Linked DNA regions of Diceros bicornis minor. The protein of the gene in region 2 interacts with the protein of the main gene of each other region in a biochemical or structural test. Links are inferred from orthologs where the notes say so. Each region holds a gene or a part of one and is shown on either strand. Other genes may lie near its edges. The genes, in order: C-reactive protein-like and CFH.

Region 1 (10,401 bases), on a different chromosome or scaffold from region 2:
CACAATTTTTAGAGTTGGAACTCTTGGATAAGCCTGCCCCGGTTCCAAGTGTAAACACCATCCCCACTGATAGCAGACCCTTCATGCTGAATGTGAGAGATTGTTCACCAATTTGTTACTGCTCTGACAAGCCTGAAGTCCTGCCCAGGTCACCTTCTGCTGCTTGCAGGTAAAGAACCACAAAGTCCAGACCTCTCAATAGAGGAGCTTCTTTCTCTCTTCATGGTGCATTTAGAGCTCTGAGGGGACAATCTCATCTCTTCTTCTGTGGGTTCTAAAGGAACTAAGAAATAGACATAGGACTCAAATAAGGATCACAACATTAGTCTTGTGGCCGGCAAGGAACCCTGCTTGGATTTAAAGTAAGAAAGGCCTTTCCAAAACTTTTCCCCTCCAGATCTAAGCTTCAGGCCAGAGGAGCAACAAGAATCCCTAACTGCTTCACATCTGGTGGAGAGCGAAGGATTCCAGAGCCCAGGGAGAGCTGTCACATGCGTGTGAAATTTGGCCCCTAAGCTGTGAACCAATGGAGGTCAGACATGGGACGTGGTACCCACAGGATAAGTCCCTCCTCCTCCCACAGGGAGGAGCCAGTCAGAGGGATATGGAAGCTTCCCCAGCCTATGACCTTCTCCAAAAGAACCCAAGACCTGGTCTTGTCTGATTATGCTGCTATTATCAACTGTGCCCTCCCTAGTACCCTGGGTCATTCCATTGAGAGAGAAATGAAGACACAAATATCTGAAGAAGTGCACCTATGAAAGTCTGGGACAATTGGCAGAAATTGGTGGAGATCCGATCACTTAAAAGGAGAGTTGCAGGATGTCAGGGCTGGGGCTACATGACTAGAAACTCCTAGTAAACATCAGTCTACCAGCCAGCTAGCTTAAACTGTCAGGGAATCTAATTGTGGCCGCATAAGCAGGAAGGAGACTCAGAGAACTCACCCCTCACACTATATTTGAACAAATAGAAGGACTGAAAAACTAAAATATAAAAGAAAATTATTTAAAGCATGTAAAATATTTACTTCAAAAAAGTTTAATCACAGAAAAATTTAGAAAAAGTTAGGCATCAACTGCATTAAACTCTCAAGCAAATGGAAGAAAACAGAGATGTATTGAAAGATGAGAGTTGAAAAAAACATACTAAAGCCGAGAAAGAATTTAAGACAACTCAAAAAGCACTACAGAATTTTAAATGGCATTAGAAATAGTAAGGATCCCAATATGCCAAACAGAAAAACAAATCACTAATGTAAAGGATAGTTTTGAAAAAATAAAAGCTCAAAACATAAAGATATAGGACACAGATAAAAGTAATCTGAGTGATGATAAATGAGAAGGAAAAATAATAGAAATCTCACATAATGAAAATTGGTGATCCTGAAGAAAAAATAGAACAAATTAAACAGAAACAACAATAAAACATTTCTTTTTAGATTTTTGAATCTTCAAATTGAAAGGATTAAAGAATTAAAGATAATTCTAATTTATAATGACCACATTCCGATGGTGGGGGTAGAATGCTGGAAAAATTATATTCCTGTATTCTTTAGATAAATCAATAAAGCACAATAAAATGGGGTGGGTCTGTCTATTAAGGGAAAGGAAAATGTTGGCAAGATTACAGTTAAACACATGCTGTCTTTTAGGAGAAAAAAACGTTGGCTCACTTGCTCCTAGACACTTAAAATGCAGTGGTTCTCAACCTTTGCTCAACACTGGAATCACTTGCAGAACTTTAAAAAACATTGATACTTGGGGCTTGCCTCCAAAAAATCAGATTTCATTGGCCTAGGGTGTGGGCTGGTAATTCTAATGTGCGGCCATGAATAAGATCCTCTGCTCTGCACTGACCCTTGTGATGATGAAAACAATGGAGAAGGGAGAGGGAAATACAGTCCCCCCAGGGTGCAAGAGCCATGTATGTATGATAATAAAACACCAGAGCCAAAGACAAGGGAAATGTAAGGTGTAATACCCAAAAGGCAACATCAGGATGCAACAAAAAGGCCTCAGGACCACAGCTGGGGCTTGGTGAACACTTCACCATGCACTGTATAATTCAGTGCCCGCCAGTCCAGGACGTTAGGACTGAAGGTCCCACCATCACAGATAGTGCTAATCTCATCTGGTGACAGCACAAAGTCCCACATGTTCACATCTCCAATGTCTCCCACCAAAGACTGTTTTTTATCAAAGCCTCCAGCAAAAGAATCCTGCTCCTGCCCCAGGATGATGCTTGCTTCTGTCCCCAGATAATATCCCCTCTTCAGACTCCTCCTCACCATGGGTTTCCCATCTACCCAGAGCTCTGCAATCCCTGAGGAGGACTCCCAGGTCATACAGAAGTGCATTGGTGCAGAACGTTCAGGAGGCTTGAAGATGATGTCAGTTCCACCCACGGTTACACTGTATACTCCATTCTTGCTCCTGAAGAGGAGGATGTCATTATATTGCGCCCTTGTGGCATAAGAGAAGAGGCTATAAGCACGAGAGAGGTCGGTATAGACGCGCAGGCACACGGTGAAGGCTGTGAATGGCCTCCTTAGCTGTGCAGTCAGAGTCACAAAGGAACTATTTGACTCTTTGGGGAACACAAAGGCCTTTTTGGACATGTCTGTAGGATAGAAAACAGAGAGGGAAAATGTCAGCAGTTGAGCTTTGTTAAAAAACAAAATTCAAGTGAGTAAATCTAAAGATCTAATTGGCTTTATTTGACGATTCTTGAGGCAGGCAGCGTCCGGTCTAGCAGAAAGAAGGAGCTTCGAAGAGCTGTACAAAATGAAGGCCTTTTATAAGCAGAAGGGGGCAGGAAGAGGAAGTTTCTAGCAAAGAGTGGATTATTTCAGGCAAAGTCACCTTCCTGTGGGGGAAGGAAGGGGTCATATGGAGTTACCTCACTACTGCTGGTCAGGCAGTTCCAGGTTAAATGTCACAGTCCTGAAAGAGGCTGAAACTGCAATTAGTTTAGGTATTAAGTCTTGGTTTGTTGACATGGGGCTTAACACAGTGACTCCATTTTGGGCCTGTTGTCTCTTTTTTAACAGCTCGTTAGCCCACAAAGATGTATTCTCTCACTATATAGAGAGATTGGATTTAGAAACCAAAGACTGCCTTCTTCCCCAGACCATACCCCCTCCCCCATGCTGGCCACTTTCCCTAACTTGGCTTTGCACAGTCTAACCCTGAGACAAGAACTTGGCTACCATCTGAAGTAGTGCCTACCTTTCTGGGCAAAAGCACTGGAGAGGCTGATGATGATCAAGAAACACAGCGACAGTTTCTCCATGTTCCCTCCCTGCTGTCACTGTACCTAGAATCTGAGTTATCCTCCTGGAAAGAATCTTAGCAGCTGAGATTCTGGGCTTGGACCTCTGAGATCCCTCTGTCTCAGGTCTGCTCCATCTTGACCTTATATGTGCAATAGTCAGAGTGTCTCAACTGACAGGTAAATGATTTTCCAAAATTGCCACTTGCAGCCATGGATCAAAGCTCTAAGAGCAAATAAACCAAGATAAATCACAAAACGAGAGATCAATATGGGTTGTTTATTAGAGACTCCATGGTGTCTGCTCGTGCTCCAACAGCTCCGTGTGGCAATGCTTAGGGAATTAAAACAGTCACATTCTGGGAATCCATTCTGGGGAAATGCCATAAAATATAGGGAGGGGGGACACTTTATTCACAAAGACAACCATAACATTACTTAGGATAGTGAAAAATTAGAAAATTGGGACATGTTTAAGTAAATTGTATATATCTACATCCACTAAATAGAACGGAAAGCCATTTAAAATACGGTTATGAATTTTAAGCTACAACATGTAAAAATGCTTATAATACTATAATGAGAGAAAAACTAACACAAATTTGTTTATACACTATTTTTTAAAAGAAGTTACTAGCTTAGAAAAAAACTATAAGGAATACCCCCCAAACAATAAGTGTTTTTATCATCGTAATGAAATTATGGAGGATTTTTTTCCCTCATTAATAACATTTCCTTAACATGGTTATATTACTTCTAAAATGAAGTGTTTGTGTGTGTGTGTGTAAGAAGCAAGGAAAGGGGGAATGAAGATCAATAGTCCTTGAAGCCCCAAAAGCTACTGTTTCATTTTACAAATAGAACACCCAGTTTGACTGTGGCTATTGGACTTGACTCCCAGAATACCTCAAACAGAGAACAATATCAGTTAGACACACTGAGGTATATATATAATTATATTTAGGTACTAAAGTACTTTGCAATATACAAGTTCCTGTATAACATTATAAATTCATGTAAAAAGAATCTTGAGCTTATTCACATGGCCTCATCACGAGTTTTCCCATTGGTATTCATTGAGAAATTAATAATAGAGGTTATTTCTCAATTGACTGGAAGAACCCACTAACATGTGGGTAGCATATTCTAAACACACAAGAAAAAAGAACTATTACAGATGGTAGTACATTTCTGGAAATGTTTGTTTTTTAATGATGTACAGTTAAGTTTTCTTTGTAATTACTGTTTCTAAACTTTTTGTGTCTTAAACTATAAGATTGGCTTAAAGTAATTGCTTCAAAAGCTTTTCTTATTCTAAACACTTGCCCAATAAAAGATATATACATAATTTGAACAGAAAAAAATATGTAACAGGTGAAAAGATTGGGACAAAGAAGGAAGAAAGTGTTTTCTCAGTACCCAAATTGCCTTCTCGTTAGCAACGAGCTCCCCGCATCAAAAGAATGTAACTACCAATATGATGAGTGGACTCTTTGGAAATATTATTGATTTCAGGGAGCTCACCACATTACCAGAACTATCTCCAAAATGGATATTCTGAACAAGGCTTAACACTGAAAAAGAGAGAGATAGAGGCATAGAGACATAGAGATAGGGAGAGGGAAAGCTAAAGCAGTAGAAAGAGAAGAGAAAAAAAATAGAATAGAGAAATTGAGAGATCTTCCCCTTGAACCATTTCACAATCTACCCCTGGTTCCAGCTACCTGCCAACACAGTACTGGAACTACTCACATATGACAGAGCATTGGGGGAACTTTATCAGGAGAGAGGTGTAATAAATATTACCCTCACCTCAGATGTTTGCTTGGGAGTCTTCTCCTCTTACAGCTTGCCATAATCCAATAAACATACCAAAGGATCGCAGCTTTTCTAGACATCATGGCGCTTTGGTTTCTCCCTGATTTAAAGCCCCAGTAGGCCAGACAAACACCTCAGATTGCAGAGATCCAAAGTATCAACTGAGGAAAAAGAAAAAAACATTCTAAGACAAACAGAATGTTTGTTATCGTGGTGCAGCTTTATTGAATAAATAAGAACATGGTAAATATATGGTTATCACTTTACTTAATCCTAGAGCAGCTATGACTCTAGACCCCAGTGTTTCAATAGAGAGTTTGGTATGCTCCCCCAATTCAAACAAAAACCACCAGCACATGAGGAAAGGAGGAAGCAAGAGACACATCAGTCGGAAACAACCACACAACCAGTCAGAGACAACAACAGTCTTTTCAAAGCTATCACTCAGATAGAACAGCAGATTCCCAGCTTCCACTGTTGGAGAATTGGCTGCACACTGTAATCCCCTAAGGAACTTCAAAAATACTGATGCCTGGGTCTTACCACAAGAGAAACTGGTGTAATGATCTGGGGTGTGGCCTGGGCAGCTGGAGTTTTAAAAGTTCCCCAGGTGATTATATTAGCATCTAAACTTGAGAATCGCTGACATAGATAATTTCTCATATGATTCCATGCCATTGGTGAATACTTCCTATGATATAAAATTATGTCCCAAGCTATACATGACATTGGAAAAGGTGGGGGTTTCCAAGTCAAAGAAGAACTTTGACAATGTGTCAAGGGCATAGTCTTCCTAATGTTATGTTGATGCTGAAGCTGCGGAGTATATCTGTGTGTATGTCATTTTCCTCAACATAGAACAACAAAATGAAAAGTTGGAAGATTCCCAGTTTCCCAGAAATGGTAGTTAACCCTCTGAATATATGGCATCTTGGAATGGCTTCCCCATGAGAAAACATGCACACATCCCATACTCTCCCTCCTCCCCTAGGGGTATAAGTGCAGTGTGTAAGTTTTTGTTGCATGTGGCAGTAGAATACAGTGGTTAGAAGCACAGGGCTCTGTAGCCAAACTACCTAGGTTCAACCCCAGCTCTGGGCAAGTTAATTAACCTCTCTAGATGTCAGTTTCCTTATCTGTAAAATGATGGCTAAAAAATGGTACTTACCTCATAGCATTGTCATTAAACACACAAATATACGTAAAGGACTTAGAACAGCGTCTGGGACATGGCAAGAGCTCAGTGCATGTAAGGTATTGTTAAGACTGTCTGTGATCCGCCCTGTGTGGTTAAGCAATTATGATCCTGGGAGCAGTGATGGAGACTTATGAGATCACTCGTCTGTGAGTATGAAAGGACGTAGGGTAGAGGGGATCACACTGAGTCCTCAGAGAATGCACCAGCGGTGGGCCAAGGGAATAACCTGAGTCGAGATGTGCTAGATCCTTCTTTAAAGATGACCACCTGCCTTCAAGCTTATTGGGAGCCAGGCATGTCTGCTAGATGAGCCATCCGAGCTGCCAAGAAGACCCTAAAGCGATGGTTCTAAAAACATATTGGGCAAAAGAGCTTGTGAATGGCAGATTCCTTGGCTCTAACGCCAGAGAGTGTAATCTAGTAGTTCTGGGATCAATGAATCTACACTCGTAATAAACACTCCACGTGATGATGATGCCTGTAATAGCAGGCCACCATTTAAGAATCCCTGGAGCAGGCAATCCAGGAAATTTGAGATGGGAGTCTGCATTTTCTGAGGAAGAAGGCTAACAAGGCCACTTAACCCACCTTCTCCAGGAGACATGAAAAGATGCACAGATGTGACAGAGGTGGAGAACTGCATGGAAGGAATCCAAGCAAGTTATATCAACCCGTCTGCGACTAGAGGTTGGTTATCTTAGGATCAAACTATTTAGAAATCAAAGCAGCGTTTCTCTTCTTTCCCTGGGATTCTAAGGATCAGAAATCTATACTTTGGAAACTTGATTTGGGTATTTTTTCTTGTTGTTTTAATGATCTGGAGTCATTTGTGTGTGTGTGTTTGTTTTTTGTCAATCCTTGCTTCCCTGGGGCACATCAAATGAGAATAGTGAAAAGCATGAGGAAAAAATCACAGACTTACCATTCTACCCACTTTGTCAACTGGGACTCCACAGCCATTTCCATCTGGCCCCAGCTCCATTTCTGGGGCAACCTGTAGTCTCTCCTCCAGGCCCTGAATAGACTACAGAGATGGATACTTGTCCATTCATCTGGATAGGGACAATGCAAGGCTTGTCACCATGACCAGTGATTTGATATTTCTGCCTGACAGAGGGAGATTTTAGGTGCCTGACGTGCACATCACCATGTTGCATCTGGTGCTAAAATGCTCACATTTGGGTCAGGCTTTGGCCCTGAAGGCCTGGCCCCAACTCTCATACCAACATGCCTATTTTCAGCGCCCAAAGGAAAGTGTCCTATCAGGTAGCAGCCTCCAGCATCTCCCTATGATTGTACATGTACAATCTCTGACATATGTGATTGGTCTACCCCCTCTTCCTTGGCTTGTAAATGTACTACAGTATCTCTTCAGGTGCTGGGCCACTGCCTTTATTGCACCTAAGATTCATTTCACTGATAGAAGTGCATAAATCCATTCTCCTTACCTCCTTTGAAGGAAAGAAATGTTTATGGTCTACTATGCATGTGCCCTTTGTATAGTTTACCCCATTTTTCTCAAGGAAGCCCTACACAGTGGCTTTTATTGTTGGTTTTATATACGATTTGGCCCTCTGTTTTTTAACTTAAGCTTTAATGCCTGATTCTACTTCTAGGCAAACTGGATGCATGATCCCTGCTATCAAGAAAAAACAGTGCTGATAACATGGCTTTATTAACATCAGCTAGAAGTGGTCTCAATGGACAATGGATCTTATCCATTTACTGTGAAGAAGAATTGCCTAGAACCAACTCGCCCAAACCAAAATCATCCTCCTTGGCAGATGTCACATAACATTTAATAGGAATTATGTCTAACCATTCTATATCATGCAACAGACCAGTGACCTGGGGATATATTTTCTAACAAGATTACATTAAATTATCTACCAGTAAGCTAAATTGTCTAAATTTAAACATTCTAGAAATGCTTTATTGAGATATTTTAGTGTTCACTGAATGCAAATACTAGCTTAAAAATTTTCCTGGCTAAAATTATTAGAGCCAGAGGCTGTCCACTAAACTATGTATAGTAAGGTACCAGTAATTGAATTCTGAGGAAAATATTAGCTCAGCCCACATCCCTGGGGAGTTGGGATGGTCTTCTACAATTAAGACATATTTCCTAACTGGATTCTTTAACCAGAAAAAGGTATTGACCCTCTCTTATGCTTAGCTGAATGTCAGGGTGTATGGATCTGCCCTAATTGGACCACAGAAAAATTTTGCACTCACATTTTTGCCCAAGAATGTATCTTTAACTTATACGCTTCCAAACGGTTATCAAAAGTCAATTAGGGGAAACAATATTCATAAATAATTACCTCAAAGATTTGTTGTTCATCCTCCTAATATTCTGAACTTAATTTTTAGCAAATCAGACCCTTCAACCGCTCTCAGCCTGGACCAATTCCACCAAGTTGTACTTTGATGGCATATAATGAACCTACGTTTAGCAAGATAATACAAAACAGCCTAATAATAATAATGATAGTAGATAACTATTTTGAGAGCTTACTGGGTGCCAGGGACTACACTAAGTGCTCTACATGCATGATCTTATTTGATTCCTACAACAACTCTTTGGGCTAATTACTATTATTCCTTCCCCACTTAATGATGTGAAAACTGAGACATAAACAGGTTATGTCACCTAAAGTCACATAGCTGGTCAGTTGCAAAGCCAGGATTGGAACTGAGGCAGTTGGATTCCAGATCCTCTATGCTTAACTAGTCTAACATATGCCTTCTCTAAAGCAACTATTTGATATACAGGCAGCCCCATATTTCACTCTTGGCTGTGACCTCTGCTGAGTAACTTTAATTGCTCACCCAGTACTGAAAGGCCATGGTGAAGGGCAATTCTGGAGGAAATCAGCAGCCATCATCTTTGAGGGGTCCTTTTCCACAAAGGACCCAAGCAGACTGGGCAAGTGCATTCCAATCATTGAACCTGACAGCAGATTCTTGGATCTCAATGATCTTTAGTTTTTGTTCCTCAAATTGAAGTAATGATGGAGTGAGAGTTTTAAACCCCCACAACTGGCCCCACATGAATGACCAGCTATCACAAAAGAGGGGCCTTGCTTGTCAGAGAGAATCTCCATAAGAGGCTCTAGGAGAGGTTAGAGTGCTGTAGATGTGTTATTGCACAGTATTGGTCAATCTGAATTCACAGGGACTTCGTTTCAGAGGATCCTTAGAAAGGCTAATCACAACTTTGAATGCAACCATCAGAAAACAGCTCAAACTCACTCAAGTAAACAGGGGCTTTATTGGCTCATGAATTTAGGATGTCCAGGTATAAATTTGGTTCCAGGCAAGGCTGATTCAGAAATTCAAACAGTGTACAGGTATCCCTCATTTTATTGTACTTTGCTTTATTGTGCTTCGCAGATATTGCATTTTTCACAAATTGAAAGTCTGTGGAAACCCTGTGTTGAGCAAGTCTACCAATGCCATTTTCCAACAGCACTTGCTCACTTCACGTCTCTGTGTCACGTTTTGGTAATTCTCTCAATATTTCACTTTTTAATTATTATTAAATTTGTTATGGTGATCTGTGATCAGTGTTCTTTGATGTTACTATTGTAATTGTTTTGGGGTGCCATGAACCACTCTCATGTAAGACGATGAACTTAATTCATAAATATTGTGAGTGTCCTGATTGCTCCACCGACCAGCCGTTCCCTGTCTCTCTCTCTCTTCCTTAGACCTCCCTACTCCCTGAGACCCAACAGTATTGAAATTAGACCAATAAATAACCCTACAATGGCCTCTACGTGATCAAGTGAAAGGAAGAGTCTCATATCTCTCATTTTAAATCAAAAGCTGAAAATGATTAAACTTAGTGAGGAAGGCATATCAAAATCCAAGACAGGCCAAAAGCTAGGCCTCTTGCACCAAACAGCTCGCCAACTTGTGAACACAAAGGAAAAATTCTTGAAGGAAATTAAAAGTGCTACTTCAGTAAACACACAAATGATAAGAAAGTGAAATAGCCTTATTACTGATATGAAGAAAGTTTTAGTGGTCTGGATAGAAGATCAAACCAGCCACATTTCCCTAAGCCAAAGCCTAACCCTGAGCAAGGTCTTAAGTCTCTTCAGTTC
Region 2 (12,003 bases):
TAATTTTCAAATTATAGTATATCTATAAAATTAAATTTTGGAGAAAATTACTTTAAAATTGGTTTTTTTGAGAAGTAGTTTGTGAATGATATCTTATTCTCTCAGACTATCTGAAAGAAAAAAGTTTGTATTTTACAATCAAATGTCTTTTTGCTGATTTGCTGATGACATTAAATAGGAATATTATTAAAGATGTAATGATTATTAATTAATTGGATTTCTTAATAGAATAAAAACTTTAACAATGGAACCAGCAGCAATCATGTTGTTTTGATATTATATAAATAAAATAAATAATATATATTTATTTAATAAAAATATAAAATAAAATAAATAATATATATTAGATATAAATCTAATTTACTAAAACCTGGTCATGCACCCAGTGTGGTTTTTACATATGTTTTATTCCTTTTGATTGTTGAATAAATGTCAAAATTTAAATATGTGAACTCTCAAGTATCATTTTGTATTTGAATTTCATTTGAATGATGACATATAAGCTTACCTAAATGGTTATATTAACTGCATTAATAACCATTTATTTGCAACTAACTACACATCATAGGCAGGACTTATTTTATTTTCCCCAGTAAATGATTACTTCTATCTTGCAGTGCATAATTTATTAGGTATTTTTAGAAGGGTAATTTACAAAAAGAAATTATAGTCTTCCAAAATGCAGCTTAGCATCATTACACAAAATATTACATTGCGTTCCTATGAGTCCTCATTAGAGACTGGAAAAAGACCAGCTCTAAGAGTTTCCTCAGTCCAGAGCAAAAATTGGTAACAAAGTTTGGGAATAATATAGAACTTGGAGTCAGAAAGGCAGTAAGCGTAGTGTTCAAATGTTCAACTGTGGAACCAGACAGCCTAGGTTCTAATCTACTTAAGTAAGTCACAGCTTCCCTATGTGTAAAAAGGGAATAATAGAATTATCTGATAAGGTTTATGAGGATTTAAAGTAGATAATACATTTAATACAGCACCAGACACACAAAAATGAATCATTAATCAGCAATTATTATAAGATCAGTAGAGCTTGGAAGGTTAAAGCCACGTCAGTGCAGGGTCAGACAAGAGACTTTGCTCAGAGATTTTTAATATAGCCTAGAAAAGACTCAGAAATGTGCGGTATATCGTGTGTTGTACCCTAGGATAAATGCCTAGGAACCTGGGAAAGAGGACTTTAGAGGAGGCAGCTGGTTTAGGGAAAGGAGAACCAATTTTCTCTGAAGCCTTTTAAAGCTTTCTGCATGTGCTCCAATTTGACCGAGGAAGTTGCCAAGGAGATGGCAGGTTTTTTTCTTTCTCCTCTAAAGGGCTGCATTATTTGAAGAGCTTGCAATCCAGTTTTAGAAATGCACCTAATAAAATAAGTGCAATAAATAGGAATGGAGGTCCTTGTGTTTTCACTTCCTCACAACTAGAATTAAACAAAATCTGGAGTCATTGTTCTTCACTTCCATTCAAATTATTAAATTGGGTTTTGCTAGCAGGGTCCCTTTGGGAAGAAGGCACTAGCCTCCTAAGGAGTGGGAAAGAGAACTCTAGAATGTTTAGGGCTTCTCCATGTAAGTGAGGAGATATTTTAAAATAAATCTGAAAGATGACCTTTACCTTAGGCCATGCTTATATAGGGTAATTTGTACATTGTTTTTCATGTGATAGAGGAGGAAAGATAATAAGGAAATTTGTCAGGAGGTTTTAAGCTCTTTCTATCAGGACATAAAGAAGACCGTTACACCTCTGAGTCAGTTAGGGGAGGAAAATTTGACCTCAAATAAGAAATAGTGACAGAAAATGACAGGCTGCTCCTGGTTTGAATTAATTGGAGAAAGGAAAATTGATTCTTCACAATTTTTCTCTTGTTTTATTGCAACTGTAATTTGTATTCTGCATTAGTAGTGATGCTGTCAGTCGAGGTGGTGGTGGTTTTGTGAGGTTACAGATAGAAAAACCCAAACCATGACAACTGGAAAATAAAAATCACACATTGAGTAAAAGATGACTGAATCTTCCTATGTGAATTATACTACTGATATCTGTGATTATTAAAAATAAATTAGATTGGTTTACCTATCAGATGTATCTACGAGTTTCATTATTGAGAATTTATGATGCTGTTTCATATCCTCCTTTTTGAATATATATCAAGATCAGCCTATGGAAAATGCTGCCTTCTTTTTCATACCTTTTCAGAGCATAATGGGCCCTGAGTTCAGACCACCACGTCATGTACACAGCACCATCCAATAGAAGTTTCTGTGATGATGGACATGCTCTACACCTGTGCTGTGCAACATAGGCACTGCCCATGGGGCTATTGAGTACTTGAAATGTGACTGTGAGACTGAAGAATTGATTTTTTTAAAAGAAAGCTTTATTGGGGTTTTATTTACACACGGTAAATAATGTAGCCGCAATTTCCATTTCCTATACTCTTCATCCCTTCATATAGATTCATATTTTCATGCAGTATCATTTTCCTTCTGCCTGAATTCTTCCTTTAACATTTCTCGTAGTGTGGATCTGCTGGTGGTGAACTCCTGAGATTTTATAGATCTGAAAAGTCTTTCTCTTAGCTTTATACTCGTAGATTTTTTTTTTTTACTGAATATAGAACTCTAAGTTGACAGTGTTTTTGTTTTCAGCACTTAAAAATGCAGCTCCACTTTCTTCCCACCTGCATTGCTTCCAATAAGAAATCGGCTGTCACCCTTACCCTCTGTATGTCATGTGTCTTCCTTTCTCTGGCTAGTTTTAATACTTTCTGTTTATCATTGATTTTGAGCTGTTTGCTTATAATGTGCCTTGGTGTAATTTTCTTCAGGTTTCTTGTGCTTGGGGTTCATTGAGCTTCATGGAACTGTAAGTTTATCAAGTATGGGAAATTTTTAGCCATTATAACTTCAAATAATTTTTCCATCCCTCCTCCTTTTCAAGTTGGAATGTGTGCTACATCTCACTGATGCTCTCTTCATTCATTTTTTTTTTTTTTTTTGGTGAGGAAGATCAGCCCTGAGCTAAGGTGTGTTGCCAATCCTCCTCTTTTTGCTGAGGAATATTGGCCCGGAGCTAACATCTGTGCCATCTTCATCTATGTTATGTGTAGGATGCCTGCCACAGCATGGTTTGATAAGCGGTGAGTAGGTCTGCACCTGGGATCTGAACCTGCGAACCCTGGGCCACTGAAGCAGAGTGCAGGAACTTAACCACTATGTTACTGGGCTGGCTGCTTCATTCATTTTTTAATTCTCTTTTATTTCTATGTTTCCTTTTGGATAGTTTCTGTTGGTATTTCTTCAAGTTCACTAATATTTTCTTCTGCAATGTTTAATCTATCTTTACTCCCATCCACTATAATTTTCATTCACTCATTGTAGTTTTCATCTCTGGATCTTTTTTATATCTTCCATGCTTCCACTTAACTTTTGAACATATAAAATACAGTTAAAACATTGTCATAATGTCCTTCTCTTTTAATTCTAGCATTGATGTCTGTTCTGAGTCAGTTTCAATTTATTGATTTTTATCTTTAATATGAGTTTTATTTTCCTGCTTCTTTGCATGCCTGGTGATTTTTGGTCAGTTACCAGACATTTTGAATTTTACTTTGTTAGATTCTGGATTTAAAAAAATTCTTATAAATATTCTTGAGTTTTGTTCTGGGATGCAGTTAAGTTAGGTTAGTTGGACCCTTTGGCTCTGGTTTTAATATTTATTAGGTGAGAGTGGAGGAGTGCTCAGCTTAGAGCTAACTATCCTCAACTACTGGAACAAAACCCTTCAGTGCCCTCTAACTGTTTAGTCTGCTAGTGGGAACTGGCAATATACTCAGCCCTGTGCAAGAATTGAGGAGTATTGTTGCTCATCCTTCCTCATGAGTGTTTTTTTTTTTTTTTGTCTTTAAATAGTTTTCTCATATGCACACAGTCACTAATCAGAACTCAGCTGAATATGAATACTTGCAGGAATAATCCACATTTCTGTGAATATCTCTCTCTGTGCAGCTGCCTCCTCTCCAGTACTCTGTTCTACAAACTCGAGCTACCTTGCTATTCCCTGCCCCATTTCCTTGACTTAGGGAAGCTATCTGACTCTATGCGGGTTCCTCAACACCAGAAACTTTCTCAAGGAAATAAACTGGAGCAATCATGGGGCCCAAGTCTTTCAGTTCCCATCTCTCAGAGATACCTGTTTTATATGGCCTGATGTCCCTTATCTTGAAAACTCTTTTTCATCCATTTTGTCAGTTTATTGATTCTTTTTAGTTGTTCAGGTGGAAGGATAAATCCAGGACCTCTGTTCTACATTGATCAGAAGTGGAAGTCAAGAACTAAATTAATTTAAGTTAATTTAGTTAACTTAAATTTAAATTTCAATGTAATAAGTTATTTGTGGACAATGGTTCAGAAGCCATAGCTACTAACTGCCCATTCCAAACCAATAAGAAAAATTGTTATGCAGTGATTAGTTGCACGTGACATCAAAGATACAAAGCATCGTTCCTTCAAAATATTTCTTTAGGACTACATAAGATGCCTTAAGGTGTTATAGATTTCATAGTATAGACTGACCTATGTTGTTACCTGTCACTTTTAATACTACATGTTAATCAGGAAAGATCCAGGTTTTTGGATGTGGCATGCAATTTGGACAGAACTCTCTAAGGAAAAGACCACAAACTGCGAACAGAAATTAGATTTGAAAGTAAATATTTATTTGAAATTATAAATAAAAAATAAGTTAAAATTAGAAATAAATCATTATAAATTATAAAGTTAAAAAAATACCAAAGACATCATAAAAACCAGAAACAACATAATATGTATATTGTCTTATACAACTCTATGATACCTTTAATTTTTACGTTTTTGGCTAAATACTCTCTTGAGCTTCTCTTCACATGGTGTAATTTTCTAGTATTTTCAATATAGAGAAAGTAGAAAAATAATTCAGTTTTTAGCATATTTGATTTAAATTTGTTACTTGTTATTGAAATATTAGAAAAGTCTCTTCAGGTTCACAACTCATGATTTATAATGGCCTATAAATTTTTAGGATTGTTGTCAAATTTTGGAAAAACTCAAGTTTTCTTGATATAATGAACTACAAGAATTCAGGGCATTAAAAGAGTTCTTGTGTTGTGAGTAATATCAAATACTATTTGAACTGAGATATTGTAACTAGTTTGTTCTCAATGTCCTCATTGTAGAGACATAAGTGTTATGGTATCTTCATTCATGTCAATAGATCACACATGACAGGAGCAAACTTTCATTCTTACAAGACATCAATGAGATGCAACTACACCCAATAGTGTGGTTGAAGGACCTAAACATCATTTTTAGTGAAAAGCTCTAAACACTGTAAACGTAGAAAGCAAAATTTGCCTGTTATTTTATCTCAAAATGAGTTTATTCAGAGCAGCCAAAAGAATTGCAATTCGAGATGTACATGCTATGGCAAACCATGGGCAAATCCAACAAAGAAGGAGCGCTGCTTTTACAGAGAAAAAAGGGAGTAGGAAGGGGCGGTCCTAAATGAAAATCCAATGGGGGAAAGTAACAGCTCAGGGCAGCAATGCCTTCTTATTGGTTGAGCTGTTGCTGGGTGGTGAGAAAAATATTCCTTCAGTAGTAAAGTGGTTTTACTTCCTGCCCAAGATGCAAGGGCCTGTCTCTTCCTGTTCGGAGTAATTGAGGATGTGTGATGGGGCGTGAGAACTCCCTCTATGGGCCTTCCCAACTCCAATTTAGTTCAGGTTTCTTTTATTAATGTCCACAACACATAAGAGTAAATATCTTATTATTTGATTTATATAAAGTACAAAAACAGGCAAATCTATTCCATACGTTAGAGATCAGGGTAGTGGTTACGCTGTGTGTGGTGGGGGAGCGGGTGAGGGAGGTTGACAGAAAGGGAATACTAGGGGTTTCCAGAGAAATAGTGCTGTTCAGTTCGTGACCTTGGTGCTGGTTGCATGGTAGTCTTTACCTTCTTGATATTCAGCAAACCACTTGCTTATATTCTCTTTCTGCATATTATATTTCAATACAAAGTTTTAAAACAATTAGCATTTTAATTTCTTGATTTTTGAATTATTAAACTCTTATGTCTAATGAGAGTGAGCCAGTTGCTTTACAGACGTATCTAACAAGTCCTTAGAAGATGAATTTCATGAATTGTGGGAAAAGCAGGCCCCCAAAATCAGCCAGTACTGCGTTCTTGGCAAAGTTTACTCACGTTGTCTGGGTCATGATTGTGAAAGCATTGCCTAAGCTCGAGTTCTGTTAATGATTTTTAAAAGAGTCCTATTACTTTTCTTCTGAGGTTGACACACAAGACCTGAAAGGAGTTTCAAGAACTGGAGGATTTATGAAATCCAGAGGATATCACCAGCTACTGCTTCGCACATTCCAAGAATCTGAACATGTCCCAACGGAGAACATGCCTGGGTTTATAAAAACAAATCCAGAGTGGGTCCAGCATTAACATTCCGTAGGAATGCAGTGAGAATCCGGTTCAAACTCTGACACTGCTGGGGCTTGCGGTTGATTTTTTTCTTTTACTTTGAAAAGTTTCTGATGGGCGGAGCATCTAGTAATCCTTTTAATTCTCAAGCTGCATTTCAACTTCCTTTTGGAGCAAGTAATTTCCTGCCCTAATCGCAGTTCTTAGCAGAGGAGAACCTGACATAGTGTGAGCAGTGTCAGCTGTTAAATGTACCCCTAAAAGACCCCAAAAATGAGATTTCCGGCAAACATTGTGTGGCTTATGTTATGGACTATTTGTGTAGCACAAGGTAAGAGTAAAAGGGGAAGACTTTGTCCTATAGCTATATTATCAAACATTTGCTAATATGCTTTTTACAGTGGTAATAAAAATTTGATCTAGAAAATGTGAATTACTGTTCTGTAGTTTAGTCTATGCACGGCTTTTGACTGTGTTAAGTTTAAAAAATATAAATAGCTTACTTGGATGACATATCTGATTATTCATCATAATTTTATTTAGTGAAAATTTTTAGAAAATGTTTGAATAAATATTTTTGAAAACTATAATGTCATAATCATTTCCTTTGTAATTTTCATAAAATATAATTTTTTTGCTTAGAATTTTCACCAAAATGCTTTATGTGAAAGTATTAAGAAGTATGTGAACATACATAGAACCAGAACATAAATTAGACATTAAAAGCCTTTAAATCATATGATTGGATTTATTTCAGATATAGCTGTTAACTCTTTCTAAATTTCATTTATCGTCTATGACTGATATTGCCATGGCCTTAAAAGTCTGGTAGACAAGCATTACTTGTATCGTTCGAATGATGATATTATATAAATTTGAAAAAAATTAAATATGCAATCTTTGTCACATCTAAGTTGTTCAGTAGGGTTTTTTCCTGCAGTTGTATATAAGATATATTCTAGAAGACTAGCCTTTAGGAGTAGTTAATATGAGTGTAGGAGTTTTCTTCTGATATCAGTAAGAAAATTTCTGAATTCATAATTAAATTTAATTCTAGCACTGTTTCTCCATTTATTAAAAAGTTTCTTCTTGGAGGAAATTTTCTTTCCTAGTTCATGATGGGTAACTAACTATGTGATAGATATTTGATTGATATTTTCAAACCAAGTGAATTAGATATCATTCATAAATTCCCAGAACTTTTCACTAAGTCAACAACTTTTGATTGAACACTTACATCATGTCAGCTTCTAAGCATTGAGAAATATTACCAAATAACACAAAACCTCTGTGCTTGCGGGTGTTTCAACCTAGAAAATAAAGGCAGATATCTTTTTTTAGTTATATCCTTTAGTAATTTTTTTAAGTTTATTCAAATGTGTTTAATATTTTTGGAAAGATAGAGTCTTTTTGCAATTATACATTCTAATATGCTATTGCTTGATTTTTAGCTTGTAAGCTTTATATCCAGCCGCTTTTTAAAACTAGGTATACAATCATTTCCCTGTACATATAAATATTACAATTAGTATTTAAAAGTAAAATATTGTTGTATTGGCAAAGACTTCTGGAACAATGTTAATGTTACCAATCTTAGCAAACATATTTTTCTTTACATAAGTATTTCTGTCTTTTCTTTTAGTAGGAATACTTCTAGCGTTTCACTGTTTACATATTGTTTGCTGAGGTTTTATGTAGAAATTTGTCATGCAAGGAAGATTTGTTTTATTTCTAGCTCATGTTTAAAACTTAGTAAGTATTGATGCCAAGTTTAATTAAACTGTTGAAGTGATTAAAAAGTGTAATTTGAAACATTATTAAAATTGGGTGCTACAAAGTATAAATGATAAAAATTAAACAATAGTGATTTAAACCCCTCGCTTATGTAATTGATTCCTGCTGACTTATTTCACTTGTATTTTATATTTCAACAATGTATGTTTAAATGAGATATCAGTTTCTATTAGTGAGCTGAGCATTAGCACTGTACATATTATAGTGAAAATGACTATAAATCTGGATGTTTCCTAACAGATAAAGTACAACTTTAGTATTTAAAGCAACACTTAGGTTAGCCTCATGATTTTCACAAAAACACATCTAATTCATAAGCTAGTAGAGAAAAATTACATGAATTTTCAGTGGATATAGAACTGCTATTTTATTCCTTGTTTGCCAAATAGTTCTGAAACGAAATTAGTTTGAAATGTCAATCAACTGCATCAGTTACCATACCTAACGGATATTTTACTCAACAGAGCAGCCTTGATCGTTAAAAATGTCCACATATACTTCAACATTTGCCTCTGTTTCTATTTCATATGTAGAAATAAATATGGAATACTAAATTGAGATATTGAGAGATACCAAACTGAATACTGAATGCTAAATGGAGAAATTGAAAAAAGACAGTTTTGAACACTATCACAATCTGCCTTCTTCAACTAGACAAAACATTTTAGCATTTTCGTAAATAGCCTCTGCCCTGTTAAGAGCGAACATTCCACCAAAAATATTATTCACTACTAAAGAGGAATAATTGCCAACAGGAAGAATTTGAAAATCCAACTTTCTATTTTTTTTTTCCTTTTTTTATATATTGAAGACCAAGTACTACCTTTTTCATGCAATAGGTTGTCTGCACTCACGTTCCTAGTGGTACAGGAACATTGGTTGCTTTCTTGTGGTAAAAAATCATGGCTGGGGGAGTCGCAACAGACTATTAAGAATCTGGTCAGGTTCACAGGACAAAGTTTAGAATAACAGTTCCTCAATCATACCACATAGTTTCTGCTTTCTGGAATATATGACAACCAAACTTTTCAAGTAGACCTTTTAGATTTAGCGTCTAAAAAGTGTATACTCTTTGCAATTAGCCATAGCCCAGAAATACTAGGCTGATTAAAGTGAGTAAATTAAAACTCTAATGAAACATGTCCAAGTACACACTGGCTGTGGTGTTTGGAGAGAGATGTTTTTTAATTCTGGAGGTTTAAAGGGAAAAAAAGTTCTTTCAGGACATGAAATACATTACAGATCAAAGAGAGAGAGATTCTATTCCATCAGAAGAGGAGAACTTATTTTTTTTATATATTATATTGTTTCAAGTACAAGATGGCTTCAAATTTAAATTAATCCTAATATGGAAAAACAGAATTGATATTATGAATATCATAAGAATTAATTATAAATTAATAAAAATTACTCTTTTATAAGGATATATGTGAATATTATGTATAGCTATAATCCATAAAACTTGTGATAGTGGTTTATAATCCTAAATTCTATGTTTCAATTCCAGTATGATAAATAAGAATCCCCCCTCCCCCCTCAAACCCCCACATTTTCAGAAATATTAGTGTGGGTATTTACCTATAGGGTTTAATTAAAATTGTGCAATGGCCCAATGGTTTTCAATATCTTCTCTCCTTCTAACATGTCCTACACATTGATATTACCTTAAGTTCAACCAATCCAAAGTTTATGTGGAATGAAAAATACTCTGAATAAATACTTTGGGATAATTAAATTTAGTATGATTCACCACAATTTACTGTGAATTATTGTAAGTTGCTCACCTTTCTGCAACAATTTTGGTGGGGAAAGGTAGAATTGGATGATGAGGAGGGTAAGAACAGGACCCAGCAATTCTGGGTGAGGAATTATTCCCAGGTAGGTTAGATCTGATGGATGAAATGCTACGGCAAGCGCTGTGGGAAGGGGTAGAGAAAATGCGCATAGGAATGTTAAGAGAGGGAGAGGTGTGCCAAAGCCAGCCTTGCTTATTCTAAGTGTAGGCATAGCCTGGGAATGCGTATTCTACTCTTTTGCCTGCATATAATGTTAAACTAGAATGGAATTATTTAAATATTCCTAAAATTATTCTTAGCTAGGAGTAAGATCCCAAATATAAGTTAAAGCACAAGTTAGCAAAGATTCTTCATTTTTGGCCTTTGATTTTGAGGGCTTGAGCCAAAGTCTAAGTTGCCCCATTTTTATTTGCTCAATTCCTGATTATTCTACAGCCTTTGCCACTTTTTCTTCTTTCCAGCTATGCCTCGTCCTCCTTACCCCACACAACATCCCCCACCTGCCCGGCCTGTGAGATTCTGCCAACCAATCTGTCCTGTGCTCGCTTAACTAATAAGCACTTTACCCATTTCTTAACAACTTTAACCAGCCCCAGAACACAGTGCATAAAAAGGACATGATGTAACTGAAAAAGAAAGTGTTACATTTTAGTTTAACACTATAACGAAACATTATAAAAATGGCTCAGAGAAAGCAAAGTAATGGGACAGGAAAAAAATCACAAAAATAATAAAAGGAAAGGGGGAAAAAAGATTTGACAGAACACTTTTGTTTGTTTTGACATTTTAACTGAAAGAGCCAAGTTTCTCATAAACCTTGTTAACCAGAAATGTAATAAATAGAAAAGTATTATAGAAATGTTCCTTCAAAGGTTCCCAAAAGTTTTTCTGAGCTAAATTAAAAGGATTTCTGACTTCAAAAAGTATAACATAGATTCAAACTTAGGACGTGTGGACAGACGTGTGGACAAGATGTGCAATGGAATTACAGATGTTAGAGTTTCTTGGGTTCATGCAGCAGAGCTTTAAGTGCACTAAACATTTGTTCCCTTGTTTTCTCTTATCCTTTACATTTGCTACCATCTACTGTGCCCTTTCCACATGTTGCCCATGATCTACAGATGTAACGGAAAAGCTTTGAAATAGTTTCATATTCATTCATTCATTCTTTCATTCATTCACTTGTTCATTCACTTATCATGTTTTGAGTGACTGCTAAGTACCAGGCACTATACTAGCACTTCCCAAAAGGAGGTCACTTAGTGGGGAAAATGAAAAGAATGATTATTGTGTTTTATTAACACATATTTTATGACATAATGTATTGTGATGGAGATTAACAAAAGAGACTATAGGATCATTTAGGGAAGGCAGGAAACCCACATTGGAATGAGAAGATGGAGTGGGATAGGGTTGAGGAGCTAGTTTTTAAGAGCTGCAATGAAGAGAGAGAAATATGTCAGGATTGCGATGGCATCTTGAGTGGGTTTTGATGGTTGAATAGGAGTTCACCAGATGATGATGACAAGGAGGACACTCAAGACTGAGGAGACAACGCGTGTGTATACAAAGGACTAACAACAATAATTTTGCAAAACTGGAGGACTGAAATCATCTTTCGTATTTCTAATTCTTCCATCAACTGAACTACCACAAGTACAAGTAGAATTGGGTATAGTGTGTGTTTTTTCTTCCCTTTCTCTTTTAAAACTTATCCCCAAGATTGGCATGATAAGTATTCAGATGCTAAATTGTTCCGGCAACAGGATTTTCAGGGTCCTCATTTTAGTGGCACCCTGTGACTGAGCTCCTTTCTACAGTCACCAGTTAGGCCTTATGACAACTTATTCTCTATATACTAACAATTTATTTTAAGAAACTAACATTTTGAGTTGACCAATAAATGGCATTAGCTGTTAGCTATTCAAATACT

What was found.
Region 1: the proteins of CFH (region 2) and C-reactive protein-like form a complex in vitro, tested with the Homo sapiens proteins (12 studies listed by BioGRID and IntAct, with this or other methods). The link is inferred for Diceros bicornis minor from reciprocal best matches to the Homo sapiens genes CFH and CRP.

What each region holds. Positions count from the first base shown.
Region 1 is NC_080767.1:30,175,194-30,185,594, reverse strand, and holds C-reactive protein-like, read right to left. Parts: upstream 3,295-10,401; coding exon 3,231-3,294; intron 2,623-3,230; coding exon 2,018-2,622; 3' UTR 1,989-2,017; downstream 1-1,988. UniProt on the Homo sapiens protein: Displays several functions associated with host defense: it promotes agglutination, bacterial capsular swelling, phagocytosis and complement fixation through its calcium-dependent binding to phosphorylcholine.
Region 2 is NC_080777.1:25,515,488-25,527,490, forward strand, and holds the start of CFH (complement factor H), read left to right. Parts: upstream 1-6,711; 5' UTR 6,712-6,753; coding exon 6,754-6,811; intron 6,812-12,003. UniProt on the Homo sapiens protein: Glycoprotein that plays an essential role in maintaining a well-balanced immune response by modulating complement activation.